Linked DNA regions of Coturnix japonica. The protein of the gene in region 3 purifies or fractionates together with the protein of the main gene of each other region. This does not show direct contact. Links are inferred from orthologs where the notes say so. Each region holds a gene or a part of one and is shown on either strand. Other genes may lie near its edges.

The links. The genes of interacting proteins can lie anywhere in the genome.
Region 1: the proteins of KRR1 (region 3) and DDX18 purify together in Homo sapiens (affinity purification with mass spectrometry; 3 studies listed by BioGRID and IntAct, with this or other methods). This does not show direct contact. The link is inferred for Coturnix japonica from reciprocal best matches to the Homo sapiens genes KRR1 and DDX18.
Region 2: the proteins of KRR1 (region 3) and NOC4L purify together in Homo sapiens (co-immunoprecipitation; 3 studies listed by BioGRID and IntAct, with this or other methods). This does not show direct contact. The link is inferred for Coturnix japonica from reciprocal best matches to the Homo sapiens genes KRR1 and NOC4L.
Region 4: the proteins of KRR1 (region 3) and GNL2 purify together in Homo sapiens (affinity purification with mass spectrometry; 3 studies listed by BioGRID and IntAct, with this or other methods). This does not show direct contact. The link is inferred for Coturnix japonica from reciprocal best matches to the Homo sapiens genes KRR1 and GNL2.

Annotation. Positions count from the first base shown.
Region 1 is NC_029522.1:18,162,005-18,169,422, reverse strand, and holds part of DDX18 (ATP-dependent RNA helicase DDX18), read right to left. Parts: intron 7,172-7,418; coding exon 7,071-7,171; intron 6,966-7,070; coding exon 6,766-6,965; intron 6,678-6,765; coding exon 6,563-6,677; intron 5,960-6,562; coding exon 5,820-5,959; intron 5,185-5,819; coding exon 5,023-5,184; intron 4,643-5,022; coding exon 4,490-4,642; intron 4,004-4,489; coding exon 3,890-4,003; intron 3,106-3,889; coding exon 3,049-3,105; intron 1,924-3,048; coding exon 1,746-1,923; intron 1,150-1,745; coding exon 1,007-1,149; 3' UTR 1-1,006. UniProt on the Homo sapiens protein: ATP-dependent RNA helicase that plays a role in the regulation of R-loop homeostasis in both endogenous R-loop-prone regions and at sites of DNA damage.
Region 2 is NC_029530.1:2,103,937-2,111,354, forward strand, and holds part of NOC4L (nucleolar complex protein 4 homolog), read right to left. Parts: coding exon 7,383-7,418; intron 7,223-7,382; coding exon 7,188-7,222; intron 7,089-7,187; coding exon 7,038-7,088; intron 6,889-7,037; coding exon 6,777-6,888; intron 6,631-6,776; coding exon 6,570-6,630; intron 5,991-6,569; coding exon 5,880-5,990; intron 4,544-5,879; coding exon 4,380-4,543; intron 4,207-4,379; coding exon 4,124-4,206; intron 3,224-4,123; coding exon 3,110-3,223; intron 2,810-3,109; coding exon 2,693-2,809; 3' UTR 1-2,692.
Region 3 is NC_029516.1:34,297,990-34,306,089, forward strand, and holds the start of KRR1 (KRR1 small subunit processome component homolog), read right to left. Parts: upstream 4,928-8,100; 5' UTR 4,870-4,927; coding exon 4,806-4,869; intron 3,956-4,805; coding exon 3,777-3,955; intron 3,092-3,776; coding exon 2,957-3,091; intron 2,596-2,956; coding exon 2,470-2,595; intron 2,371-2,469; coding exon 2,287-2,370; intron 1,571-2,286; coding exon 1,514-1,570; intron 1,301-1,513; coding exon 1,130-1,300; intron 961-1,129; coding exon 883-960; intron 778-882; coding exon 684-777; intron 395-683; coding exon 252-394; 3' UTR 1-251. UniProt on the Homo sapiens protein: Part of the small subunit (SSU) processome, first precursor of the small eukaryotic ribosomal subunit.
Region 4 is NC_029538.1:3,325,719-3,333,136, reverse strand, and holds part of GNL2 (nucleolar GTP-binding protein 2), read right to left. Parts: intron 7,273-7,418; coding exon 7,178-7,272; intron 7,023-7,177; coding exon 6,883-7,022; intron 5,810-6,882; coding exon 5,625-5,809; intron 5,236-5,624; coding exon 5,169-5,235; intron 3,953-5,168; coding exon 3,794-3,952; intron 3,248-3,793; coding exon 3,134-3,247; intron 2,869-3,133; coding exon 2,740-2,868; intron 2,368-2,739; coding exon 2,263-2,367; intron 2,152-2,262; coding exon 1,993-2,151; intron 1,844-1,992; coding exon 1,736-1,843; intron 1,455-1,735; coding exon 1,021-1,454; intron 410-1,020; coding exon 330-409; intron 1-329. UniProt on the Homo sapiens protein: GTPase that associates with pre-60S ribosomal subunits in the nucleolus and is required for their nuclear export and maturation.

The DNA of each region.
Region 1 (7,418 bases), on a different chromosome or scaffold from region 3:
CAGTGTAGTCCTTCCTTGCATCAGTGACTGTACATTTTTTAAATAACACACCCAGCCTCAGCCACAGCCTCATAAATCTTCTTCATAAATCTACTTCTACAAGGGTAGAGACCTGATAATAATGTAAACTAACAAATGAGCCCCAAACCCTTCCCAACACCGCATCTGGGCCAAGTCCTTCAAGTAATGCAACGTGCTTTTCTTAATTGTCTTTGCCTGTTCAAAAGAGAATAGACCAGACATTAACAGACAGATTTAAACAGACCACAAAGGAAAACCAAGTAATTCACTGGAATGTTACTGTTTTATCATAATATTAAAGAAGTAATTCTAAGAATGACTCAGATTGGTATAAGAAGCTGGGTTTTTTTCTTCTTTAATCTTAGACACTGTATCTGCCATCCAGATGCCATGAATTAAAATAACTACAAGCTCAGTCATAATAAGATTCAACAACATACAACGATTCTTGTGGAAAAGAACGTATTCTTTACCATGTCTGCTGGATAATGAATTCTCTATCACTAAGACACCCCACAATGATCCTTGAATAAAAATCCTTTTATATTTTTTACACTAAGAATGTTTTCAGACACCTATGAACTGCATTTCTTAGCATAGTGAAGTCTCTTGCTGTGCAAGTCACCTCACATTGGAATCTGTCCCTATATTCTGTCTAGTCTGACAGCTTCCAGGGGTGCATACAAAAAGGGTATATGCAAAATAAGTTTTCCTATAAAAAGATGAAAATATTTTTTCTTTAATAAATCACTGAGTTGAAACAATTACATACATCCATCTTCTTCTTTACAAGAAGTCTGGCTATCTCTCTGTATTCTCTTTTCCAAAGAGTCTTCCTGAAATGAAACATTAAGAAGCTCTGAAACAAAAACTTTTCTCTCCCTAAAAGGTTCAGCAGAGAAGTTTAAAATGGAAGTAACTGCCAAGACAGTTTCGATCAGGGCAGCATACAGCACAACAAAAAGCCACTGTAATGAATGCACAATTAACGAGAAAACTGCCGATTGTCTGATTTCTTGCTAATGTGCTTGAAGATTTTAGCTTTGTGGACACTCTTTGGTTTCTGGTAACCAAATCCTCCACCTCCACCTCTTTTCTGTAGTCTTCTGCCTTGGTTGCTGTTCACATCTGGAATTTTATGGGTTAAGGAGCATAACAAAAGCCTTAATTGAAGTGCTGCTTATTGGGTCTTACCACCATTATTAAGAAGAGAATTAAGTATTACACAAAACACACCGAACTGTGTTAGGGGTGGACCTGTCATTCTACTGAATGCTTTTATTCTTCCAGCTGTTCAACTAATTCAACTGAAGAAACACTGCTTCAACTTCTCTCCTTCCATTTTCACCTTTGACAAGAGGGGTCCATGCCCCTGTATTTCAGTACCAGACTCTAGAACATGCATGCAATATTCCAGTACCTACAAGGCTGTAGTAACTGAAGTCCATATCTACATTAAAGCAGATATTTTTAAGCAATTATTAAAACTGGAAAAGCTGCCATTTAACATTTTCTCTGATATTTGGACATGATGCATGTTAATTATTAATAATAAATGTAATAATAATAATAATAATAATAAATAATAAAATAAATTAATAGCAATACGAAATAAAACGCAACAATAAAAAGCAGAATTTCAAACAGCATATCTACTTCCCTAAGTTCCATTTAACATTTCTAAAGCAGGAACTCAGCTTTGAAACACAGCAGTAAAAGGATACTGAGGTCAACGTATGGAGGGACTCTAAAGCCAAAGGAGAGGCTGACTTTGTTAAGATCCAGGTTCCCCACGTTATAGATCTGCTTCAGAGAATGAGAGTCATAAGCTCTAATGTAAGCTTTGTATGCTTCCTGGGCTGATTTGTGAAGGAAGTAGTTCTTTTCGATCAGTTTCTCCAGCTGATGAGAAAGGAAAAACAGACATTACATTATGGAATTATGGCTGTAACAATAAATTACATGCAAGCCAATTATTTACTCTGTGCACTGCAGTGACATTCACTACTCACTTAAATAAGACTGTACTATGACAGCACAGTACACACATCTACAGTGCTTTTGCAACCAGGCACTAAAAGCCTGAAGCTGAATTGTAGTACAAAGCCTCAGCAATGAGAAACTTTAAAAACATTACATTAGGTTGTCTTAAAGAAGATCAGAGAGGAGTATGCAACTACAGCCACAGTTATGTGTAATGAGAATTAATGGACAATGACAATACACTGTTAAGTCAGACATCTAATCTGTACCATCCCATATAATTTTGCTTATAGGTCTATCTAAAATACTGGAAATTCACCATAAAACACACACATTATTTTTAAGACAAAAATGAAGATGCAGTAGTGTAGACAAGTATTTTATTTGTTGAGGGCTATGAATGTCGCATTTGACTGCTACCATACATTAGTTTGGCAAACTAATATTAAGTTACATTAGGCATTAATACTTCCTAACCATTCTTATCAACGGAGGCTCTGTAAGGACTGTCCTCAATGCTTCTGGCATTCGCTATGTCAAATTCAAGTTATTACAAAGAAACTTCACACAGCTCTTAAGAAAACGCTTCACAGAACTAAACAAAAATTCACACCTACAGAACTATCCATGTTATTCTCTTGTACTCTGTCCTCCATTGTTATTTTTGTAGGATAGAAACACACACCAGGCTTGGCTGATGCCAGGCTTCATTAATATCAGCTTAATAAAACTATACTTGGAACATATACTGGCATTTCTAGGTGTTGGTACTGATTTTTTTTTTCCTGTATCTGAAGGCTGAGCAAATTCTCTTGTAAAAGCTTAGATCTTCAGAATTAATCTAAGCACGCATAACCATTCTATAAAAGCTACTGGAAACACCGCGTTTGCTATGCTAGACAATATTCTATTCAAAAGTTGAAAGCATATTTACACCGCTATGATTTCTCAAAGTACTGTGAAAAAAGCAATCCTTATGAGCAAATGCATTTGGTGCAATAGCAGCAATGTAGTACTGGACATTAAAAATTCTTCATTTCCTACCTGAGCCTGAATATCTGAAATCTTCGACCAGGAAAATTCAAACTCACTGAGTGGTACCTTAGAAGAACGAATGATAAAATACATAATCTAGATTATTTCTACTGTACAAACAGTAACATGTAAGATGAATAACAACAGATGTGATAGAAACCAAAGACTATTTTTTAATATATAACACAGCTTTACCTGTCAATGAATCTAAAGTTCAAGGCCATGCTTTAAATTAAAAGTATACCTTACATATTTTTAGGTTTTTGACATCTTTTACTTAAAACAATGATGACAATATTAGTAACCCTTATCAGAAACAAATTTGCTGAAATTGCCTCTGCATAAAGAGGCCAGCATTGTATCTCCTTGAAATTAGGGTAATAAAGATGCTCCTTATGACCTTTTCATTGTTTTAATTACAGATGTCTGTAAACAACCCCATAAGAAAAGCCACTATGAATCTATGGGCAGTTCTCTCTTATTAGAACTGTTACATTTGGAAGAAGGCCACCCTTCCTTTGGAATTGAAAACAATGCAATTGTTTTAATAGAAAAATAAAGAACTGCACTGGCCAAGCTTCCGGTATCTTTTCATGAAGAGGTGATAGGAAAATTATATGCGTGTATTTAATAATACACATTGCACAGCTGCAAATAAAAACACATGCAGTCACCTTTGAGTCTAAGGGTAAGCAGAACAGAGTTAGACATTCAGTCAAATACTTTCAGTCACATGATGATTTATGTTCAGAAATTAAACTGTATTGTTAATCATTGAGGTTTTTGCCTTTAAAATGGTGACTGCACAGTAAATGCCAACAAACCAAAGGAATTCTACATGTAAGTTTACCCTGGCTTGTTTCAGGTAACGGAGAAAGCCCAGTTCTTCCGGACGTAAAATGAGCAGAGCGTGTCCTCTACCATTTATACCTCTGGCAGTTCTACCAACACGGTGTATATACTCCTTTTACAGAGAGAAATGAACAGTTAAGTCCAGACAGTCTTTCACACTGGCAGTAATACAGTTTACTGAAAAAGCATTTAACATTAACATATATCAGCATCGTCAGTTACATTTAAAGACTTTCTAAGCACTGAGGTATGGATGAGGCAAACCAAGCGCTGATGAAGCAAAGTGCATAACTAGTCGGGACAGAAGTACCTGACTAGAAGCACCTTACCTTGCCTACTGAAGGTAAATTCATGCTTCTAACAAGTATTGTTTTGTTTAGCTGATTAGATTTCTAATTACTTTGGTACCATAAAGTTATGTTTTATGTCTCTGCTAGCTGCAGCACTTCCCAGGATCAGGTGGAGAGCAACGTATGAAATAAGCTGCTAGATGTGAACACAGCTGAATTCTGACCTCTGTTGAGCAGAAGATTCAGGTTCTCTCTGCAGCGACACTCACAGCTACAATCTGAAGGTATTTTTTATTTCCATAACTTACTTTTGGATCATCTGGAGGGTCGTACTGGACAATCCAGTCCACCTCAGGAATATCTAGTCCCCTGGCAGCTACATCAGTGCACAATAGGATTCCAGATTCTGCATTACAGAACTGGAAGAACGTCGTAGTACGTTTTGTTTGTTTCTGCTTGCCCTAAAACCAAAAAACACATCACACAAAACAAGAAAAAAAACAGAAGAACACATACGTTAAGGATGTCCACTAAAAAAAACCTGCCAGTTTATAAGCTCCAATGCAATTTCTCATTTCACAGATTATATCACTGCCAAGAGATATAAAATACTTCAGGGCATCTCTCTACTTTATGGATTTGCACAGACCAAGCAGAACCGTTTCACACTGAAGAAGCAGTGCTATCACAGTAAACATGTACCTCTCAGAAGTTACACTGTACATTCAAGGTATTACAACCACAAGTTATGTAAGAGTTATTATCAGAGGGACTGCATAAAAGCCTGATGTTCAGACACAGGCATTACCAGGTTAATTAAAAATACATATGAAATACTTACGTGAATGGCCAAAACAGGCAAATCAATGTAGTTGAGTAATTCATAGTGGTACTTCACTGACATACATGAAGAAAAAAATACCATTAGTTTCTTCTTCCGGTTTTTCTTCAGGAACGTGAAGAGCAGAAGGAATCTTTTTTCAGATGGACACACTACGTAGCCCTAGAAATTATTTAAACACTGTTAAACATAACAGCACAGAACACACTCTGCATAAATAGCACAGAATACACAGGGGATTATTTGGCAAAAGTCAGTTTCCCAGCCATACAGAACAAAGCTATCTGATTTACTGCCTGGTTCTCACTTTATTATATGAATCCTTCAGCACTGACAACAGCAAAAACTAACTCTACAAACTAGGAAAGAATTTAATTGGAATCATTGAATTCTTGCTACTAGTTTACTCTATAAAGGTAACTCCTACCTATTAGTATTTTAAAACAATTATCATTGTATCAACTGCACAAACCCAGAAACTAAAGCGCAGTTCCATTTAGCCATTATCTGAAGCAGGAAAAACAAAATCTCAAGTGTTCTCTAGTCAGTAACACAGTGCTTATGTATACAATACAGGCAGTAGTTGGAACGTGTAACTAACTGTATCATTACTTCATTATTTTTTTACATAACCTTTTAGATAGCAGTGAAGAAACCCCTTAGGCAACTGTTAACTTTTGCCCATTAGGATGTTAAACACTTCATGGGATGCACAGTTATACAACCCATTTAAAAGAGCATAGGGCCTGCTGGTTTGTTCTCAGACTATACCCCTTCTAGTAACATTTATGTTTTACCTGTTCAAGGCCATCTACTGTTGCTGTCTCCTTGTTATCATCAACTCCTACATACAGTGGTTCTTTCTTCAGAGAAATCTTGGCTAGATCTTCCACCTTCCTGGTTTGTGTAGCAGAAAACAGCATCGTCTGTCTGCGCTCTGAAAATAGTTGGTTATAAGAATGCTTCATTCATTTAAACGAGAATTCAAATAGCAAATCCTTAACCCCTTTAGCTGCAAACTCCCACGGAACAATTCTTCACCTTTTTTCTATTAATTTAAAATATACTTCTACTGATAAACAAAGGCAAGTATCACTACACTGTGTACTATATTGCATGATATTTACTTAGGCTGCCACCATCTCCAAAATCTTAATGCACTTCAGCTTTGCTAAGCTTTTCTTAGACAATCCATAACATACACAAGTAAAAGAAGAATGTTAATCATTAAGGTATTGCTATGGGGAGACTAAAAAAATCCAACTGCAAGCTAATACATCTTTTTCCTATTATTTCCTTAAGACTAATTCGGAAATAATGAATAGCAGGAAATAAACAGGAAAAGATGAGGTGTCCTTCAGATAAATGTTGCTAAATAATACATGCCAGCTATCAGAAAAAATGGACACAGTTAAGAGCCACTCCAAGGCACATTATAAAACTATCAAAATTAATGACTTCTCTTACAGTAATTCAATCATACAGACTACATAATGTTAGTAAAGTAATTTCCAGAAAAGACAGTTTTTTCTCTCCTTACTTGGTAGAAGTTTTATGATCTGTTTCATTTCTTCCTCAAATCCAACCTCTAAGATTCGATCCGCCTCGTCAATCACCAAACACTGTAAGTTCTTGTACATGAAACCTGGAGTGTTCTAGAAGATTAACAGATTTGAGAGTTAGATGAGGACAAAGGTCTTATTACCTCTTATTAAGTAAGAGGTTATCGTTATTTTCATCTACCTGCATATGATCCAGAAGCCTTCCTGGTGTTGCTACAATGATGTTGATTCCATTTCCAAGTTTCTGAGCTTCTGCTGATCTGTTACTGCCCCCCATGATCAGACCATAGGTGTGAACGTGATGATTCATAAGTTCTTTAAGAACTCCATAGGTTTGCATGGCAAGCTCTCGAGTAGGTGAAAGAATAATAACACCCGTCCCTAAAACATACATCAATTGACCGGCATTAAGTTACAGTTTCTCCAGCCCTTTCACAGCCACATCCCTTAATATCTGGGCCACTACAAAATGAAGGAAATCCTTACCGTTTCTAGGCATGAATTTTAACTTGTAGATGAGCTCTACTGCAGGAATGAGAAATGCAAGTGTTTTGCCACTGCCTGTTTTGGCAGCTGCTAAAATATCCCTGCAAAAAGCAAAATTAAGATAAAGAAGTGTTAAGGTCACCCAGAAAGAGATCCTACATCAGAGGCAGTCAGCCCTTAAATGAGGTCTAAGAGAGAGATGCAGACAGGCTCCACACCACCCTGTCACACAGATAAATTGCCTTCATCCCAGGGCTGACTGGGTCCTTTCCCCAGGTGCTCAACCAGTGGTTCAGGCTGTCCCATACAACTTACCCTAAGTATTTGTTCACACATAACATATACTTA
Region 2 (7,418 bases), on a different chromosome or scaffold from region 3:
TCTGTTTCCAGCACAGCAGCACATGGCAACTCCTGTGTCCTGCTGCAGTAACTGAAATGTAAATCCTCACTCTCCCAACCTGCAGGAAACTGATAGAGGCAGAAGGCAGGTGATGATTCATTCACTTGCTATCTCAGAGCCCAACGCTCCTTCCCCAAGAGTAGCACAGATCACACCTTGCCACCCACCTAAACGTTTGATAAAAGTTAAATACAACTACCTGTGATTGATGCCTCTCCTCACATATGCACTCCAGCCACAATCTGGATAATGTGTAGCGTTATTAAAGCATCAATTATCTCCAGCACAAGTGGAGCTACATTAGCAGGACTGCAGTCTGTTCATTTTGATAAGGGTTTCTCTGTTCGTTTATCAACAGAACGGGGACACAGCAGGGCAGGGATCCTGCAGGGTTTACCTCTGCTGGGATGGAGTTGACACTCGCATCCTCCCTAAGTGCACTGTCAACAGCAGCACGCTGATTGAGAGGGTTTCTTTCTGAGTACTTGTGAGCCTGGGGGTCCAGCCCTCTTGAAGCTAAAGCAGTTTGTCAGCTCACGGTCCAGCCCCTGTACACTGCAGCAGCCCCTAACCCTCCAACCCATCCAGAGGTCCATGGAGCAGAGGAGGGCTCCCATTTGGCTAAGAGGACACTTCCAAATACCCACCAGGGATGTCCAAATGCGTGGTGTGAAATACTACTTCACAGGCAGACCTAATTTCTTAGGAGGCCACTGCCAGCCTACAGCCAAGCCTTCCTATGTCCCCCTGTGCTGGAAGAGGACAGGAGTGAGCACTGACTGCCCTGAGTAGACAGCCCTGTATTCAGACCAGGTCTGCACCAATCGCCAGCTGCATTTGCACTTTTCCATCTGTTTACAGTCACTTCCCTCCATCCATCAACGAGTATCTTAAAAGTAAAAATCTAAGCTGATTAACGCTAACACCACGGTCACCTGGACCTTAAACTCACACGATAAATCTCACCATGCTCTTGACGAGCTGCATTACCTTCTACCTTTGGGCTAGAATGACTTTAAATGGCTTTTAAATGAATGAAAGCTCGGAGAAGCAAACCAAGGGCAGCCTGCTGCGAACTGGAGACCTTATCACTGTCCTCTGGTGGGGGAATAAGGCAGTGCCAGGCCAGGGAGGCAGCCTACGTCAATGTTTAGATAAAACAACCCTTTCTGCTCACTGAAATAACAGCAACAAAAAACAAAACACAACAGCTCCGTCTCCCTCCCTACATCTGATAACAATCAAATAATAACAGGAGTGACTTACGCGCTCTCTGCCTGGTACTTCAGTCTGGCCTTCCAGTTAATACACGCTATGATTAAAGCATCTATAATCTGCAGTCCGTGGAGACCTGTAGAGCACAGCAGCAGCGGGTGTGCAGCCTGATAAGGGTTGTTCACTCTGTGCAGATGAAACTTTCAATATTTATAACTGCTGATTTTTTTTTATCCCAATGCCTCCTATTGAGGGGAAGAGGGTGAAAGTTTAAAGATAAAAGCTTGTTGAAGGACCAGGTGGAATGTTTTCCCAAGGACAGGCACAGGGTTACAGCTCTCTCTTCTAAAGGGAAAGTTTAAGGACATTGCTTGGGGATGTGCAGCATCAGAGACTGGGGATGAAGCCTTTGGAATTATGTAAAGGCCAGCCAGGGTTTCAGCTGTGAACTCCTCTGAGAAAGAGCTTAACCCTTCTTCCAGATACACGAACCCAAGAAAACTCCCTCATTTTCAATATCATGTATTAAAAAAGAACCCCAACACCCCCATAACATCACTACTGTGGAAGATACGAATGGCATTGTCCATCAGTAATTTCAGCCAAACAAAAAAGATGCAGAGAAAGTCAGTGAAAATAATTAGAAAATAGAATCCTGAGTGAGTTGATCTGCATTCTTAACAAGGAGTTCACTTCAGGCCAAGGCACAGCACTTAACAATGTGGAAAACACTATCAGAAGGAATTTCTGCAGGACCTCTGAAACCGTATGAGAAATCCAAATTAACAAAGCCATTCCAATATCAGTGGGGTAGTTAAAACTTAACTAGCGCCTGCATACACACCGGCCACAGCTTCTGCAACGCCTGCAGTTTGTGAGCAAAATTACATTAAGCTGCTTATCATTCTGAAGCAAAAAAATCAAGGATTAAACTACTTTCCAGTGCACATCAGTTGGCCGCCCTACGCACTCACCACCATTATGCTCATTTCCAAAGCTCATGAGTATTTTGAATTAAGAATGATGTTTACAGTTATGCACTGAGGTCACTCACTACACAATGGTTGCTATAGGAAATGAACACATCTGAAACACAGAATCAATACCACCCAACCCCTCAGACCCTCTGAATGGCAGCAGGGCGGTCTGTCGGTGCAGTCATTGATCTCAGCCAGCACCAGCAGCTTTGGAAAGAAGGGCCAAGATCCCAACAGTGAACAAATCCAGAAAACAATACTGTGAGGGAAAACCCCTCCAAAACATCATTCACAAAGAAAAAAAGTCTGTATGTGGATACTGGAAAAGGTCCCTGAAGAGGGCTGCTCCTTCAGAAGGCAGTCCAGTTTTCACCTCTTAAAGAGATATTTCAAAGGCAGAATTGTCCAGCAAAACATGTGAGTTTGGTGCAGGTCCTGAAGGTCCGTCAGCTGTGCAGATGTGTTTTTAAGAGATGGCATCAATCTAAAGCAAAGTGCTCTGCAAGGATATCGTTTTTCTTCCCAAACAAACCTCGCGCTTGCACGAACTCCAGCGGCACTTTAGCAGATGTTTTCTTTATTTCTTTATCAAAAAGCTACAAAAAGAGAAAATATTGACAAAATTCAGTACAATCCCCTTACTGTGGCTGATACCAACACTCACCCTAACACAATAAAATATACAGTAAACCTTTTAAATGCAATACAGTCCTGCCGCTACCGCTGCCAAATGCTCCACCATTTAACAGACATTTTCCCCTTGGCTGTAAGCAACCAAAAGTCCACCTAGCTCCTTCCCCAGCAGCAAGGCTGATCAACAGGACAGTGCTGTTGCAGTCAGGAAGCAGTCTCCCTTCCTCTTGTTATAGTCATTCCCAAAAGCACAGCAATACTACCTCAGAAGCTGAGAGCTCCAAGAGCCCTGATATGTCATCCTCTATTTCAGACAGCGACTGATTGAGGATAGCAGCTGCCTGGGCCACATCTGGGTAATAATGGTTTTGTAGAGACTGCAAGATAAAGAGGAGAAAGTTTAATGAGCACACGGTAACACACATCCACCTGGCTTTATGCACAGGTATCCTAACAAACCCCTTGGTTACGAACATTAATTCTGGCAAAGGAGGCAAGTCTGCTGTACTGCGTTATTACACAGCTTAAAGACATACAGTAAAATCTGTATGTCTTGAAGCATTAGCCACATTTAAGACATAATTAAAGCACCCTTCCACCAGGTTCACATTCAGCCCAAGACAGATGGATTCCTCCACTGGCTGTAGCTACTGCAGCACACACCTCAACTCTGCCACCTCCCAGAGCCCCACTGCTGCATCTGAGCTCCCGCTCTCTCCTGCAACACCCACCTTGCACAAAATCCTTGCGGTGTTTAAATGGGAAGTGATAATCCTGCCACTAAGGTCACCAGGAGCAACTCAACTAATTTCAGCTTTCATACACCATCCTATGAATGTTCCATGTTAAGAGTGAACACTGCAATCTTCATCATTTTAGAAGTCATTTCTACAGGATGACCCATCTGTACTCAAGTTCCATCAATGCTCAGCATGCTCTTCTCTCCCCTCCAAAGCAAGTAGAAAGCCCCATACATTTGCCACTATTTACTCTTTCAGCTCTTAACAGCCCACTTTCCAGCTGCATGGCCAGATGTGCACTCACAAGACTCGTGCTAATTAGCAGGCACTAGTTCTCATGTGTTTAAAATCCTCTGCCTCTTACACTAAGGATAGAAAATGATGTGAAGAGCCAGAAATTCATCTCATTTGCAAGACGTGTCTGTCAGAAGGTTCATGGAAGTGATAGTGCTGGCTGCCAAGTTGTGTCATGTAAGCAGCAAGGGTGGGAGAAGGCTGTACCTACCATACACAGATGTGCCTTGTTAGATGACATACCTGAAGCTCCCAGAGCGAGCTCTCCAAAGCCCTGCTCTCAGATGGCTCCTCCTGCTCCATAATATACGGATCTTCTGACAAATCTAAGGGAAGAGACACAGAGCTAAGACCTCCTGCAGTGTCCATGACACCAGAGGGAACCCAGGGACCCAGAGCAACCAACACACTCAGGATCTGGGGCCAGGATCTCTCCAGGGATCCTGCTCTTCATGCTGCCTAAAGGTGTAACACAGAAGTCCCCGCCTTTCCCTCTTACCTTGTGGTCCATTAGGTCTGTGCATCAGCACTTTGCAGGCCGGGTGCCTCCGAAAGAGATTACAGATGAAAGGAATGACCATGAGCAGAGCCTCGGGAGGAGCAGTGAGGGCCAGCCGGGACAGGCGCTTTATGAATGCTGCCACCAGGTACGCTGGCAAGTGACTGTGGGGAAGGAAGAAGACACCAGAATGTCAAGAGTTCCAGCAAGTGAACCAGCAGACATCAACCCAACCAGCATGTCAGGCTAAGGACCAGTGGGATTCCTCAGCTTTTTGGACTATGAAATGAAAAGGAATCGTACAGCTATGAATTGTGATTTCAAGCAGTTACGTGGGGTCTTGTGTGCTGTCTGGAACAAATTTTGGGGCATTTCCATTCAGTGCATGAATAATCTCACATCAGTTTGTGATTGAACCCAGACACAGGGCACTACTCCAGACACTTGCTGTAGCCAAGCACAGCTCTTGTACACGGCCATTCACACTGCTGTCTTTATTCAGTCATTTTATAAACTTCTGAGTATTCGGCCAGGCAACCTTAATTATATTTTTCTAATGTAGTTCTGTGGGTTTAATTAATACACGTGCCATGGTGTTAAATTTATGTAATACTTGCAGGACTAGAGCAAGCGGTGCAGCTTGTAATGGGAACATAAAGCTGCTGTCACGTAAATGTGCAGAATAGTTCTCTTTTATGGTAGAAATGCAGGTTTTTAACAGCAATCAGCTCGTGTAGATACATTCTTCAGGTCAGCAGAGCTGGGATGAGATGACAATTTCCAGCCACTCATCCCACAGCCCCAGGGCTCCCTACACCTGCAAGGCTCAGCCAAACCACCCCAAGGTACAACCATCTGCCATGTCTTGTTACTCTCTCCAGAGAACACTATGAGCACCAGGGGGGTGATATTAAATATCACGCGCTGAGCATTACTCTTAGTTTATTTTACAACACATTATGGCAACTCTATGACCAGCTGCATATCTAGTTTATTCCCTGGGCATGATGAATTGACAGCATCAAGACAGAGCGTCAAATGCTTTATATTTCAATATTACACGTCTGCAAAAAGGTCATCAATTTATCAACAGATTTATGATACTGCGTCTATAAAAAGCCTGCAAATGTTCCTTTTCCATATTCATAAAGATGGAGAGAAAAATCATCACTTTCAGCCAAACTGGAATACAGATCAAAATACATCCATAATGATTTGCCGATCAAACTCAGATAATGAACTGCAGTTTTAGTCTGTGAAACCAGACAGATGCGTGGCGCATCTTCAGAGACATCACATGAAGAATTACAGCACTGCAGTAACACTCTTAGATTCAGTTTTCTCAATAAGAAAACAAACTTAATTCAGCGAGCACAATGACTACATTAAATCCAGACACGGGAGACTGTTGAAGAATGGACTCTGGCCAACTGAAAAGTAGCAGCAAAATGTATGTACGTATATACTGAAAGGTACATATATACTGAAGGTTCTACTTACGATGAAGACAAAAACAGATCAGCCAAATGGAAGAAGCGGGCTCGGTACTTCACGTGGTAAATGGAAGGGTCCAGGAGGCTGTAGAGCTTTTTGTAAAAGTCAGGGTATTCCCTATTGAGAAGGCAGGAAGGAAAAAGACAACATCCTTTGCTGATTAGTGACATCCAACAGGACTACACTGTGTTTATAATGTCTGAATAATGACCGAATAATGTCTATATGCTTCTAAGAGTTCTTCATAAACCACCCCAGATCACTGCTGTGTTGTGAGTGCCTGATGAGCTGCCTTTGGCTTGCCCCCACAGCCACCACTTGAAATAAAGCTGTAAGGTGAACTTCTGGCTGGTGCAGTGCCCAGCTGTTCTGGAGATGTGAAAACACATCCACTGACTGCAAATGGCACAGGATCCAAAGACTACAGCTCTGCTACACCATCAGATCAATGGAAATTGATTTCCAAGAGCTGAGCAACCACTGTCTGGAGAAGAAAGTATTGAGGCTTAGCTCAGCTGAAAAAGAGGTCAAACTATCAGAAGAGCTCAGCATCCAAACAGCTGAGCTGCTTGGGCAGAGCTTGGCTTCCTAATGGCCAAAGCCTGAAGATGTGGAGAATTCTTTTGAGTTCTGTTTATGTGAAGATGTAGATGCAGACACTCGTGTCCCTTTACACAGTGTGCTCCTTTTACTTACAGATTATGCTGATGAATCAGAATAAATAATCCATTTAAGGCTAGAAGACTAATTGCTCCACCTGTAAGAAAGCAGGCATCTATCAATACAATAGATAGATAAAATGATCAGCTACAACCTATTTCATTATTAAACCTTCCTGAAAGTAGCACAAAACCAACAGTGTCTGTAAGTAGACACAAAGGCTAAAAGCCCATCTTCACTCACCTACTCCATAGGCCGCTGTCAAGAAGTCGATCATGAGAGTGGGCTCGTTCATGTGAGGCAGGATGGAGTCATGCAGAATAACAAGAACTTTTTTGTAAAGGCCACTGGGAAGCTGTGAAGAACAAAGCAATACAGTCAGACCATCACAATGAGAAGAACCTACCAGGGGTCCTACCAGGAGGATCACATAAAGGATGGCTGCAGCCTCTCAGGATTAGCAACTGGAAAGCAACGTGGATCAGCAGCAGAAGTACCACTCACCTGGTGCTTCAGAAAAGTGAGCCACATCCTTTCAAACGCCTGCCTGTGTGCCTTAAAACAGAATTGCAGGTAGTGAGATAAAGACATGGGGTAGATGAAGATCTGTTTCCAGTAGAAAACAGAGCTCTTAAGCAGGACAAGAACATTTACCTGCAGCCTCGACACCTTCCATTCCTCCTGGTCATCTGAGAAGGTAAAGGAGAGATGGACGTTGAAATGGATGTTAAAAATAAAAACAATGATTTGTTTTCAGTCCTTTGAGCCAATCCCAGTTATTACAAATACCCCCATAAAACTGAAAGAGTGCAAACACACTCAGATAAGAAGCAAAAAAAGTTTACTAACCTTGCTTCACCATAAACTTGACCATGTCACGCTCCT
Region 3 (8,100 bases):
GCAGACAGGTGTTATCCAAATGTACTCAAAAGGTATGAGAGAGCAGATTTTGTTCACCAACTTTGACAATTCTGCATAGCTGCTCCAGGTCCATTTGTTAAAATGGGCTTGTGAAAAGAGAACCATCTTTCTGCCTAGTAATTTCTCATCCACACTACATTGACAGCAAGAAGTTTCCTCCAAGTCTTGGTTTTTCCAAGTGTGAGAACATTCATTATTGTAGGAGAAAATTGAGCAGAATGAGCAGTGAATTACTTCTTCCTTTTTTTCTTCTTTTCATCTGCTGCCATTTTTAACTTGACTTCTTCCATAGGAAGCGCTCCTAATTTCTTCTTCTTTGCGTTCTTTACTTTCTCCTTGATGGCTTCAATATCAATTTTTTTCTCAGTAGAAGCTACACAGTAAAAACACGAGCACAGAGAGACACAAGGTTTACTTCTCTTATTTTTCCACAGCCTGTGAGATTACTTCATGTGTATCCACATTAAACTGCATCCCGTAGCATTAGTTAGGATTCATTTTATGTTCACTAATGATTTTATAAACTATTCCAATCATTTTTACTTAATCTAGCATGATACACAAATCTTTCAACGGAATTCAAATGGCTACATCTTACACAAAGTAATTATGTGGAGAATTAACTAGTAGGGTTTAGAATGGGGGAAAAAAAAACAACTTACCTTTCTTTGCTTTCACAGCTGGCTTTTCCTTTGGTGGGATAAAAGCTTTATTTCTTTCTTCTTGTCTTTTCTTGACTGCATCAGCTTGCTTTGCCTACAGTTAACAATGACAAGTATGAAGTACCAACAGAGCCGGGCAAAAGGGAAAAAAACCAAAGTCAGAAATGAAGCACTTTTTAACTGGTTGTAACAAATTTACCTTTATTTCTTCCACTCGCTTTCGTTTCTTCTGGCTTTCTTTCAAGAAGTATTCACCACTTGCCAATTCTTTATCAATCTATACAAGAAAATTACCAAGAAGCTTTAGACAATTACACATTACAAGCAAGATATATAATATCAGGAAACAAAAACATGACAGAAAGGGCCCGTTAACTTCATCTTAACGAGAGCAGGATTTAAAACCACCATATACTCCTGCACAACCAAATAAAGTTTCAGCTGACCTGGCTTTCTGGCTGTGGAGGTGGGAATGGTGTGTACTCCTTCTTAACATTTTTCTTCTTTGGCTCCTTGCGTTTTTTCAAGTTCTTCTTCTTGAACTTAGGCAAAAATCTTTCCCAATTCTGTGTCCTCAGTTCAGGATCTTTTGATAATTCACGTTTGATCATCAAAGTCTTTGGTAGTTTTAGAACATCACAAAGAAGTTAATAAAACAATAGTATTGCAGTAGTATCTAAGAGCTCCAAACTAAAAGTTTTATCAAAGGTTCTTATAGCACAGTTTACACATATACATTTATATATATTCGTATAGCACACACTGAAACATAGAATTATTAACATAAAGCTGTGTACAAAGACTTAATGCTTTCAAAGGTGCACACCAACCTTAATGTTATATATGGGATGTATATTCTTCATTGTGTCCAGAACAACCTTCCTAACCTGTATTTAATAAAAGAAAATGAATGGAACACTCAGCAGGTACTTCATACTCTAATCAATTAAAATATCAAGGTCCCTAAGTTTCTTCAAAATCAGAACATTTCTCACCCCAAAACTAAGAGCAGATAGGCTAAAAAAACTACAAAGCCAATTAGAAGGCACAGTGCTTCAAAAATATCGTTAGCTATACTGTCATGCTTCTGATACACTGCAGCATCACAACAACCACTACTTTCATGCCATCATGGATGTTATGTTGTGTTTTAGCTTTTGACATCTATTATTCCCTCTAGAATTACTAAGAATATACTAGATGTTAATCCATGCTATATCACATTAACACTGCGATGTTTTCACTCAAACCTCTTAACTGAAACTACAGAAATTCTGCACTGTAAGCTACAGAAATAAAAGCCCAAGGGGCAGGACTAGACACACTATTCAGAAATACATGAAGGTGCCCCTTTGATATCTTTACTAAGCCTTACCTTAAAAAAAAAACCACAAAAAATACTTTTAGTTTCAAGGCGGAAAGATCTCAGCAGCTAACAAAATTCAGGAGCTAAGCCTATAGGAATTCACATAAAAGTAGCTTAATAACATGTTACTGAAAGGACAGTGGAGTAACTCTTGAGGCTACCAGACTCCGCCTGTACTCCACGCCACAGCTAGGCACAAAAGTGAGCTACATAAACTGCTCATCTGCCTTCCCTTACCTCTTTTAGCCCACTGAAAGGTCCAAGAGCTGAAACAGTGTTGCCTTGAACCATAATATAACAGTTGGTTAACAGCTCCAGGGCCTAGAACAACAAAAATGAATAAAGATAGTGTCAGCTGAAGGTCTGACACGCAGACCTTGTGTTTAAGATTTTTTATGGTAATACACTTATGAGGAATACCTTCAGAGTAGATCCTTTGGGCCCAAGAAGTCGTCCTCTTCTTTTTACAAAACTTTCTCTGTTCCTCACTAGGGAACCGATTTTAATGATGTCACACGCAACATCGTCCTGAAGAATACGAACTGCCTGAAGATAAAAGCAGCAGGTATTAACATCTGAATCCAAAAGTAACATTCACAAGAGCCAAAAGACTCATTTCAGTTGCAGATACGTTTGTTTTAAATATATATTTTCATATAATTATAGAATCACTTGAATTGGAGGGACCTTCAAAGGTCATCTAGTCCAGTTCTTTGCAATGAACAGAGACACCTACAGGCAGATCAAGTTGCTCAGAGCCCCATCCAGCCTGACCTTAAGAATCTCCTGGGATGAGTAGATACATACCTCCCTGGGTGACCTGTTCCAGCACTTCACTACTACCTGAAAAACCCATATTTTGAAAGCATACAACTTTATAAGCATTACAACATTATTGGCTACAAACCTGTTCAAATGGAACGCTTCTTGCCAGAAGTTTTATTAAATCTCTAGCCCTGATGATCGCATACGGATCAAAAGTCTTCTTAGTAGTCGTGACCGTCATGCTTCCTTCAATTAGATCCAGCGTTGCATTCACATACTGCAATGTGTGCAAATAAACAGCAAAGCAATCTTTAATTAGAAATCTAAGATTACATTTCTGGTAGCATGAGGTTAAGATGAAATCTCCTCATCTCCTTTCAAGTTAGCAGATTGTGGACAACAACACAGAAAGAATCACAGAATCACAGAACTGTAGGGGTTGGAAGGGACCTCTAGAGATCATCGAGTCCAACCCCCCTGCCAAAGCAGGATCCCTACACCACGTCACACAGGTAGGTGTCCAGGTGGGTCTTGAATATCTCCAGAGAAGGAGATTCCACCACCTCCCAGGGCAGCCTGTTCCAGTGCTCCGTCATCCTCACTGTAAAGAAGTTCTTGTGCACATTTGTGCGGAACTTCCTATGCTGTACTTTCATCCCATTACCCCTAGTCCTGTCCCCACACACTACTGAAAAGAGACCAGCCTCACCACTATGGCTCCCACACCTCAGGTATTTATAAACCTGGATCAAGTCCCCTCTCAGCCTTCTTTTTTCAAGGCTAAACAGACCCAGTTCCATAAGTCTCTCCTCATAGGGGAGATGCTCCAGGCCCTTCACCATCTTAGTGGCCCTCCGCTGGACTCTTTCCAACACCTGTTACTGGAGCAAGCTTTTATGCCAAAGTAACACCTGTATGTCCCAAATAACAGAGCAGCACATCACAACAGTAAGAACTCATACATGCTCACTCAGGGCCTTCTGGACAAGCGGCCAGCACTCCTTCAAATAGGCTTCTCTGTACTTGGGGAATAACGTTGCAAAGCTGCTTTCCTCCAGCAGCCCTCTGGGATTGTCCTCCCTGGTAAACGCTGGTTCCTTCCATCCATCCGGCACAGTGAGCAGTTCGGACTCATCGACTGCTATGGATTAAAAGACGACAGTTCGTTTCTCCATCTGAGCTATTCCATCTGCTCCCCATCTAAATACAGAACTAGAGATAACAGAACGCAGGCACACAGCAGGTGCTGCGTTCAACGCTCTGTTGGAGTCATTCTGCATCTCTCCTTACAGAATCACAGAATGACCCAGGTTGGAAGGGACCTCAAGGATCATGTAGTTCCAACCCCCCTGCCTGGCAGGGCCACCAAACATACACCTTTACTAGATCAGGTTGCCCAGGGCCCCGTCCAACCTGGTCTTGAACACCTCCAAGGACGGGGCATCCACAACCTCCCTGGGCAGCCTGTTCCAGGACCTAACCACTCTCCTAGTGAAGAACTTCCCCCTAACATCCAACCTAAATCTTCCCTCTTTTAACTTAAAACCATTTCCCCTAGTCCTGCTATTATCAGCCCTTTCGAAGAGTTTACTCCCCTCCTGGGAGTAAGTTCCCTTCAGGTATTGAAAGGCTGCAATGAGGTCACCCCGCAACCTTCTCTTCTCAAGGCTGAACAAACCCAACTCCCTCAGCCTGTCCTCATAGGGGAGGTGCTCCAGCCCCCTGATCATCTTCCTGTCCCTCCTCTGGACCCTTTCCAAAATCTCCATGTCTTTTTTGTACTGAGGGCTCCACACCTGGACACAGTACAACAGATGGGGCCTCACAAGAGCAGAGTAGAGAGGGACAATCACCTCCCTATCCCTGCTGACCACCCCTCTCCTGATGGAGCCCAGGATCCCATTTGCTTTCCTTACGGAAGTTACTGCCTTTCCCTCAGCACAAGAGAAGGATAATCCCGGCGGGCAGCAGCCCCGAGGCCCCGCACCCACCTTTGGCCGCTTTCTTCTTGCCGGGACGCCGCGCTTTCTCCCCCTCCGCCTCAGGAGCCGCCATGCTTACTGTGCTCACACAACTTCCGCCCGACACCGGAAGCGGAACCGGGGCATCGCGGCATGCCGGGAGCTGGAGTCCTACAGGCTGACAGGGCGAGACCAAGGCTGAGGCCTATGGGGGTTTGCGAGCCCCTGGGGCAGCCTAGAGAGCGGTGCCAGGCTTATGGAGGCGGGTTTATCATCAGACCTGCTCATAAAAGCCCGCCCTGTGAGTTGTTTAATTATCAGGGCCCTGGGCAACCTGATCTAGTAAAGGTGTATGTTTGGTGGCCCTGCCAGGCAGGGGGGTTGGAACTACATGATCCTTGAGGTCCCTTCCAACCCGGGTTATTCTGTGATTCTGTGTGATCATCATAGAATCACTGAATGCCTTAAGTTGGAAGTGACCATAAAGGTCATCCAATTCCAACAGCGCAGCTTAAAACCATTCCCTCTAGTTCTGTCCTTGCAATTAATTCCTTGTAATATCCACATTCATTTTTCCCTCTTTTAGTTTCAAGCTATTCTCCTTTTCCTATCACTATCAAACTGTAAAAATTCGGTCCTCCTTCAGCTTTTAAGCTCCCTTCAAATACTGGCAATCTGCAATGAGGTCTCCCCGGAGCCTTTTCTTCAGGCTGAACAAGCCCAACTCCCACAACATTTCTTCATAAGAGATGCTCCAGCCCTTTGATCATCTTCGCTGCCCTCCTCTGGACCCCCTCCAACAGCTCTCCCTAGTATCCACTATACACATGTGTAAAATATCCAAAACTCAGTATTGACACCCAAAGACCTTCCATTGTGCTGCACTGCTGCCTTTACCCGCTGGGTGGCACTGACCGCCGCGACAAAAGGAGCAGCCCCAGCGAGCCTCGGTGCCCGAGGAGCAATGGATCCCCCTGCGCTGCCCTGGCAATGAGAGCGGACAGAGTGCGGCTCAGAAGTGTCTGGTGAGATGCACCTGGATCTTCTCCACATTGCAGGCACGCTCCAGGGACGTCTGTCTCCAAGGAAATGGCGCTGTTGTTCTGCTTTAATTATGCCATAATTAAGTGCAACAAAACTGTTTGGAAAGAGCATACGTGCATGGCAGAAAGGCTCTGATATTGCAACTGGCTCCCCTGCAACCATGAGCACTAAACAGGGAGTTTATGATCCTGTGTTGATAGAGCACTTGGCATTCACTACACCGCCCTCATAGAATCATAGAACCAGAGAATCGTGAAGGTTGGAAAAGACCTCAAAGACCATCAAGCCCAACCATAGATCCAACCCCTCTACTCCTGCTCATGGAATTGTAGAAGCATTAAGGTTGGAAAAAAACTACTAATATCACCCAGTCCAATCATTGACCCATCTATGCCCACTTCCATCCACAGGGTCTCCAATTCCTTTCAAAACCAGACTGAAACCCATGAACGTGACTACTGAGCTATTTTGCGTACAGGAATATTAAGATGCAGACAAGATATTTTCCTTATTTTATCTCCAGGTGAGATCAGCCCACATGCAATGTGAGGATGAAAGTATATCACGGTACAGGGAAGAAAATCTAGTCTCAAATGAAGAGACAACACCATCAGACTTGGATGATGTGACTCGGGAAGGCCCCTCATGTCATCCATCCTGCTCCTGGTGGAGACAGTGACTTCTCAGCTTTCCTCTTATCTCAGGTTTTGCAGAGGAGCTGAATACAAGGAAGCCGCCTCCCTAATTCCTGTCACAGACCAGGTGCTCCCATAGACCCTTGTCCTCCTCCAGTCAGCCCACTTGGGTTCAGACGATGACAGATTTATATCACTTTTGTCAGACACTGCTCAGATGCAATGGCCAGCCCCAGCATGTCTGGCAGTGACAGACTGGGAGGTGGGACAGCTGTCTGGGGCTGGGGACTGCTGAGGGTACAGGGAGATGGAGGTTGCTGCAGGGAGATCCAGCAGTGCTGTACCAGACTGTGATGGGGCAACGTGTTTTCTTAAAGCAGGAGAACTAATCTCACAGAACTGTAGGGATTGGATCCTACCTCTAGAGATTATCAAGTCCAAGGCTCTGCTGAAGCAGCTTCCCTACAGTAAGGAACATGTATCACATTCCCTTTGTGTGATGGCAGACCTGTGTGCAGAAGGCTCCTTTGAAGTCTTTTGGCTGAATAACACAGATCCTAATAATAATAATAATAATAACACAGCCTCCAAGACCCCTACATCTGCTGATCCAGTTGCTGGGCCCTGGTGGAACCCAAACCAACTCTGTGTGTGTGTCTATGTGCGCTCACTGCTTCCCTGTTAGAAGCAAAGCAGACAATGAAACAGCACAGTCACACAGCTTCCCCTGAATGCACTTCAGGCTGTATGATAAAATGGGCAGAGTGCTGCCGTTAGGCTGAAGGTGCCTCTATTATGCAGCAAAGTAATTATTTCCCAGTCAGTAGATAGGACTCCAGCCACTTGGCACTTTCTTACGTGCCATTTTCAAATCCAAAAGAGCAACTTGGGATTTTGTGATAATTCAGGCAATCAGATGAGCTCATGCACATGGCATTCATTCACTAGAAATGCTGTGCAGATCCCATTCAGCCCCAGCACTCGTAAATCCATGTGACACTTTTATCTATTTATAAACTTTTAACAGCAGGTTATGATTGTTATGCAAGCCATTTTCCAGGGATTAATAAGCAGCTTGTGTTGATGGCAGTGAGAAGAACCATTAACTGCTCTGGGGCAGTCATTAATCTGTAGTAAATGCTCAGCACCTGCATCTTTTCTATGTAATTAAATAATCGATACTGCCTTTTGATTCAAATAACTGGAGAATTGTATCTCAAATCTGTCTTAGCTCAGGATATTCTTAATTCTTTTCATTTATGGCAGGTCAGGAAACAGCCACATGGGCAAGTGAGAGTCTCTCATGCAAAACACCTCAAGTGATCAAAATATAATTCAAACTGGATAAAAAATGGTTGAGAATGTGTTGGCCTTCTCATGTTCATATAAAAGTCCTCCATTATTTAAGTAAAGTTATGGCACCAACTGACCCAACACTCAGAGGCAGCCTGACAGAATAAAAATAACCAAGCAGAGAGCTCCTCTGCCCAGCTACCTCCAAAAAAGCCCCGTCCTCCTAACACGACCAAGGCTGACATGGCTTTGCTCTTGATTTCTCTTTCCTCTTCATTTCTCTCTCTAGCAGAGGTGTAGCACTTTTCTGGTTCTGTTTTATTCTTGACTTCACTGCTGAGTGCAGCAATCTG
Region 4 (7,418 bases), on a different chromosome or scaffold from region 3:
CTGCTGTGTAATACTATACCGTGTGGAATGGATGTTGCTGAGACAGCAAACCACCCACAGCACCATTCTGCTGAGAGCACAACATTTGTCTTTATCTTCACTCAGTAGCAGAGATCACATTTTACTATACAGGCTCTACAGCTCTATAGAAAGACTATAACAAGCTCATGAGGCAGCCCTTAGATTCACTAAGCTGAGGTTTATATAGCAGCTTTAGGGAAATAAGAACTTGCAGTGAGGAGCTAATGAACACCCTTCCTTAAATCCCCTATTTTCTCTCTCTTATTGGATTTCCAGACAGAGATCAGGAACTACCAATTTCATTTTACCTTTCTCTTCCTTTTCTTTGGTCTCTTCAGCCTTCTGCACAGATTTTGCAAACACTTTTTCACTCAGCTGCTTAGGGATTCTACAAAAGATAAAACAGACAGCAAAAGAATGTCATAATACAAAACTCAGCCATCTCTAAGAAGCGATCCATCTCTGATAGGTCCCAGCAGCCTGTCATCAGTACAGCCGCAGACTTTGCATGGTAGAAATATTCCAGTAATCTTGTCTCTAGAGTTACTGGACTTCTGCATTGCACAAAGGGCAAAATTTAACACTTATTCTTGACGTCTTAGTCCTCACAAACATGGTGGATGAGCTCCGCTAAAATTGGGCCTGTCATACGAGCTGGGATGCTCTTGTAAATGCACAGAGACTCATGTACAGATAGGACACTGGCCTCTGTATTACTCAAGAAAGGTCAATATCAGGGAGATGCAAGGAAGAAATATTGCTACCCACAGGTTTCTAAACCATACCTGAACCAACAGTGAGAAAAACTTCCGTTATTATGGCCAATAGAAATTCTTAGAACACTCTCTCAAAAACAAACTGCTGCTTAGCCAAAAGAAAGCATGGCTAAAGTAGAGAAGCAATGGACATAAAGGCAGTGGAACTACAACAGAAACTCACCATCTCTTTCCCACCCCCCCGCAATGGAAAACACTCGAGTCACTAAACAGATTCAGATACCTTATTGCTGAGAACCTCTTGGCTTTGGCCTTATCCAGAAATTTCTTGCACTTTGCAATCTTCTCCTCCAAAGCCTGAAGAACTTCCTTCGAGCTCTCCCTGGCACTCTGTACAGTTGGCTCTGATTCTTCCTCTACTGAATCTTGATGTTGCTCATTTTCTTCTTCCTCTTCTTCCTGTTCCTCCTCTTCAGGAGCATCACTGTCTGTTTCATCAAAGCCTGGCACATCTACAGGAATTAAGTCTTCTTCTGAGAACTCAGGTGCTACATTAATCCTCCCAAAGTTTTGCCGAACATTTGCCATGAGCTGCTTCATTTCAGTGTCTGCATTCTTCTTCTCTTCCGTTGGCTCCACATTTGATGCAACAGACTCAGAAATTTCCTTCTCATTATTAAATTGGCTTGATGTCATTGCTCCTTCCGATGCGGGTGGCTAGGAAAAAGGGCGTAATGGATATATTATCCACAGCCTGTCCAAACATCCCCTTGGACGAAGCCTAAGATAACTAACAACGTGGTAATTACTGACATTTCTACTAGTTGGATGACTGCAAAACAGTTCAGACATCTCTGTGGAAGAGTTCTTTGCTATCCGGTGCTCTGAATCATGTCAGGAAAAGCCCAATTTACATGGTGCTCTGGCAAAAGCATCAGTGAGTATCATTAGAAGAATGGAATAATATGCAAGAAGAGGCACGAGCCTCACATCCTTACCTCAGCAGCTGCTTCTGCATTTGGTGGCTTCACAAAGAACGGAATTCTGCCCCTCTGCCAGTCATTGAGAACCATCTTGCTGACAGTTTGCAGATCAGGCTCACCACCCTGAAAGAATTCAGTAACAGTTTCTGTCCTTGTTTGCAGGGCATACCATCTTTATATTATCTCTTTGCAACTGAAACGTATTTCGCACTTCCAGTGCAGAAACAAACCCACATGCTCTTCCAACCTGTAAATACAGGATGCTCTCAAACCTTTAGTAGTTTTCCAGTCCTAGCAGCAAGCTTCTCAAGGAAATCTTCTGTATCTTTCCAGAAATCAATTTTGTATGTCTTTCTGATGTACTCTGGCTTGGCTCTTTCCAGCACCGCACTAATGTGATCTTCAGGGCTCTTAATCTTTTCAACTTGAACCTAAAAATGAATGGTAAAGTATCAACCCTTTGGAAAGCGTGCAGACACTTCTTTGAACTCACCATGGTGAAAACAGCAAGAATTTTCCCTGCACACAGCACAGATACATACCACTCCCTTCAGAACAATGTCTGTTTCTGAGTCTCCAGATGGATACACCACCCCTGGGCAGTCAATGAGAAAAATCCTCCTCATCAAAGTAATGTATTGCCACACCTGAAAGATATCAGTGATCCCCACGTTACCTCCTCTCATGCACAACTGTTAGTTCTGCTTTTAAATGCACAGGTTTAATATACGGAAGTCATAAACTTGGCATTAGCACACACTGAGTCAGTGCAGCTGAGTGTTCAGATCACACAGCACTGCACAACAGACATAGAAACTCAGAAATGCTTTTGAGCAGCAGCACTCCAGAACAACGCCTGGCTCATCAGCCACCCCTCAGACTCAGGGTGATGCAGCTTGTGTAACTTCAGTGACCTGGAAACATTAATGAGCTCATTTTATATATTTTCTGCCTCTGACAACACAGTGGCATATTTATAATATTATTTTTTAACCTTTAAAAGAGCAGCGCCTTCCTACCTTAGTTTCACCTGCAATGGGAGCCACACTGCAGACCTTCTTAGACCGCAACGTGTTGATCACTGAGCTTTTGCCAACGTTTGGGTATCCAATAAAACCCACACTGATCTGTTTCTTATCAGAGTGTAACTGTTAAGAAATGACACATCATTTTAATACCTCATAGAAAATGACACAGTTACTATTGCAGTTTTAGGAGCTTCTGGTTGTATAAAAAAGCAAAGGCTGCTTCAAATACTCTGTCCAGGGGAAGTATTTTCCATTTCCACAGAATGAAGCTTGTTTGCTGACAGAATGGCCACGTGAAAGTGCACTGTACCCCACACATTAAAACAGATAAATCCCATACTAACCCCAACCCCAAACAATATAAAGCCCCACAGTTGTTCTTTACCTTTCCAAACTGCCTTAAAAGCTGTATGAAAGCACCTTTGCCAAAAGGGTTTGTGAGGCTGGCGTGAAAAGCAAGTGTTGGGTATTCCTGGGAAAGGACAGCAACCCAGCGCTTCTAAAGAGGAAAAACACTGCTCAGTTATGAATGCTGTGCTGCAAAGGCAGTGAAACAATTTCATTGTGAGAAAAACCATCTTCACTTGAGTCACATAACACAACTATCTATAAAAGTTGCCACGTAAGAAGCTTAGATGCATTTTATCAACCCAATAGCTAAAAGCACTGCCTATTGTTTTCATAAAAAGATGATTTCCCCCTAAATGCCTTCATTGCTAATTAGTTTAACAATGTAAAACAGACCAGCTGTGGTGGACATGGACCTTAAACGTACTAACATTTAGCATACTCTGGAGACATCAGCTGAACAGTTAAATCCAGACAGAGGAAGTAGAGAATTTGTGGCTGGTGACTGTTGCTCAACTGAGCCAAACTTGGACTGATTTAAATGGTAATTGTTACTTTTACAGCAAGCAAGCAGAGAGTTCCCACTGACCCAGTTACATTATGCCCTTAAGAGACTAGAACAAGGACTGGCAACAGAATTAGAGGCTATGAAAGGAACAAAATACATTCAAGGGACAAGAGGCAAAGCTGTGCTTACAGTAGCCCAGGTAGGAACAAGATCACATTTGTTCAGGACAAAAATGAGATGCTTCCAGTGTTTCTCTTTTTTCAGATAAGATTCCACATGAGGGGAGCGAGTACCCATAGGATCTCTGGCATCAAGAACTTGAACAACAACATCTGATGAGTCTATCACCTGGAAAAAGAAATACATATATATATATCATACATACACATATATCGCACAGAAGGAAAATAATACACATTTCCAAAATATAAAACAGTAATCTTCTAAATTCTTATCGTTATAGGATAAAACCTTACATCCTTTAGGAATGACTGTTAGTTTCCTGTAACAATCTCTACTCTCTCTTCCCTGCTCCCCTCCAAATTTAGGCTGGAGAGCTGTGAGCAGCTTCTAGGAGCATTTGGGAAGGGAAACACTACAACCAAGCAGTAAAGTTATTTGCCTTAGTGGGCAAAAAGAATGTTCTTCATCCATTCTATAAAGGATCGGGACATAAAGAGCGTTTGCTGGATCAGTATGAAACACACAACCAAGTAGGAACCTGCTGTTAGTCCACTAAGAATCTACAGCAGGGAGCTGTCATTTCATGACTTGCTTCAAGCCAAGAGAATTTGTTTCACAGCTATTTCCTGCATTTTTGGCAGAATCTTATTGAAATCTGTTTTGCTCTATGATTCCCAGCACTTCTAGGACTAAATGAGAAAGTTCTAAGCTACATTCAGAAATTTGGGACAAGTCAAGCAGTTTAACAACAGTCACTGAGAGCAAACAAACTGCACTTACAAATCTAACTCAATCTCAGGCTTCATTCCTTTAGCACCAGTGGCAACTCATGGGGAAGGTCAGAGAACCCCAAAGAAGATCTTATTAACACGATGCATCCTCAGTCTAAAGAAACTTAAGGGCATCTGACTGGTTTATTTGTGCTAAAGCCCCAGGAATTGTTCATTTTACCAGCTCATCTTTGGATCATATATTTTAAGGATGTATGTTCCACTGAGACAAGAGCTCAAGAATCAAGCTTAGAAGCTTGAAAATGAATCTCCCTGCTACTCTACAACTGTTTCTTTCTGTTCTAGTTGATGGTCTGGTTCAACACCAGTCCAATGCTAGAAAAGAGTGTATGGATTTACATCAGTCAGTTCAGTTAGGCCGACAGGAAAACAAGGAAGAGAATTATACACTAAGGATGTCTCTGAACAGACACCTTTGCTCTACAGAAAATTCAGCAGATCAAAGCTTCCCTAACATGGCCAGACATAACTGTACAGTTCTGAGAGCTTTTCAGAGTCACACAATATTTCCAACGCTGTGCTGCAGCACCGGACTTCACAAAGGCTAAAATACAGACAAATACCTGCTGCAAATTATAAGTGTTGCTTACCTTGTACAGCTCACCCCAAATTCTTTTTGACTGTCCTTTCTTAAATATTTCCTCTTGTGCTTCATCCCTGGAAGTGGATCACCAGAGACATCAACAACCACAATAACAGGGCTGTAGTGCTGTCTTCTCTAAAGCCAGTTAGCCATTTACAGAGAAAAGAGGAGATTAGACCCAGTCCCTTATTTAACCCAATATCTGAGTTCACAAATTTTCAGATATGCAACAGGAAATGAATTAGCAATGAAGACAGAAGGGTCCCATGGAAGCAGGAGTTCAGTTAAATATATTGGGATGAAACAGCCTTAAAATAAAATCCAGCCAAATTCAGCTTATTTCTCATTGCATACTCGTCAATCAGGCAGTAACAGCATCGATAGAGGAACTAGATGCGCTTTTTTAAATGAATGAAGATGTATAAGAAATGTAAATAGAGAATAATTTCTCCTTCCTATCTACCTTACTCCAGTGTCTTCAACGACCAGGTCTCTGTCTTTGCCCTGATCGTAACATTCTGATGAGGCTTCAGCATTCTCCAGCAGGGACTGTACATCACTTGCAGCAAGGTTTGGCCTTTTCCTCTGTGCTTTGGGGCCAAATGTTGTTTCAAATGTTTCTGTGTCAAGAATGTGAACTCTGGAGGTCTATGGAAAGATGGGTTGTTAAAATAAGAAAACACACCCACAATCTCTAATATTCCATCTCTCACGACATGCAGCCTACAAGATCTCAATGCAATGCAACTCTGTAACCTCTAACAAGAGTCATAGGCACTTTCCTAACAGTGTTTGAGTTCTGCAGCTTAATTTCGAGAAGCACAAACACGGATATTTAACAAGCACCAAACCAGGCTGCACTTGCCAAAGAACCATGCTTCACTTCTTCCTGCATAAATGATGTCCAAAGTAATTAAGGCTGCAATGATGAAAATTCAGCTGCTATCTTTGATCATTCCTTATTTTTCTAACAAGTGCACAAATCTCGCCAAATTCACAGATTTTTGTCAGGGATAATTACAGTCAAAACTGTAAAATTTGAAGCCTGTAATGAATGCCAACTTTTCTTGGAACGGCAGCAGTTCATAGCTGAAAGAAATCATTTGTTTTTGTAACACTTATTTTAGTTTACAGTAACTTTTCCCTTCATTTAGGTAACATTTTTATGACACAAACGTGGCAACTTTCCATGTGAAAAATATCTAACGATAATCCAAAATAATAATACTTCAGGGGTTATGAAAGCAGACTGGTAATAACTAAAGCTTTAGGCACTTGAAACTCAATTTGCCTTGAAACGAAAGCAGCACGCAGAACTTCTGATTCAAGATAAAAAGCACATATTTGAGTTCAGGCAGATTCAGTGCATGAGAGAAAACACGCTAACAGAACAATGCTTCCTCAGCACTGTCACATCAGCCATTAGAAGCATTAGGACAGAAGGTGACAAGTTTATATATAGTCATTTTAAATGCCATATTCTAACCTAGAGTGCTTTCAAGTAGATTTCCTGTGAGAAAATGTGAATTCCATACCATAGACATCACAAACCAGACTGCTTTCATAACCTCTGTATCACATCCACAGCATTGTGTCCTCAAAAATATCCCATTCCAAGATATTTGCCCCAATTCCTCCTCCAATGCTTCTCCAAACGTAGCCAGTTTCCCACATATAACACATAAAACAGCCTTAACCCAATGCAGATGAATGACACTCACGTGAGGTTTAATCCGATCGTGGAAAAGAGACATAGGTAACTTGCTTTGTTTCATGACCACTCTGTATGGATCTTTCATGACAGTTTCCATTTCTTCTTGAAACTTCTGCAGGGATGCCTGCTTGACCACACGAGTATTCCCTATGTGTAAGAATAAAGGCTACATCTACACCATTCATCACCTTTAACTGCTTCAGAGACTCAGATTACACCATGAAAATATCAATACTTCAACTGCAATAAAAAATACCAACCAATCCAAGCTTGTTGAATGGAGAGCCTGAAAGAAAACTCACCGAACCATTTAATATTTGGTTCCACTCTTGCAACTGTGCCTGGTGCCACTGTCGACTGATACTGCAGAGGTTTAATCACTTTGCCACGTTTGTTTCTAAGTGAAGAATGAAAATGCATGTAAATACATAATGAAACCATACATGCCTATAGCACTTTGATTCACTAGAGCCACTATTCACCCCCTTAGTACCCATCTAAGCCTATGCCTGCACAAAGGCAATAAGTTAGTTGGATGAGCTA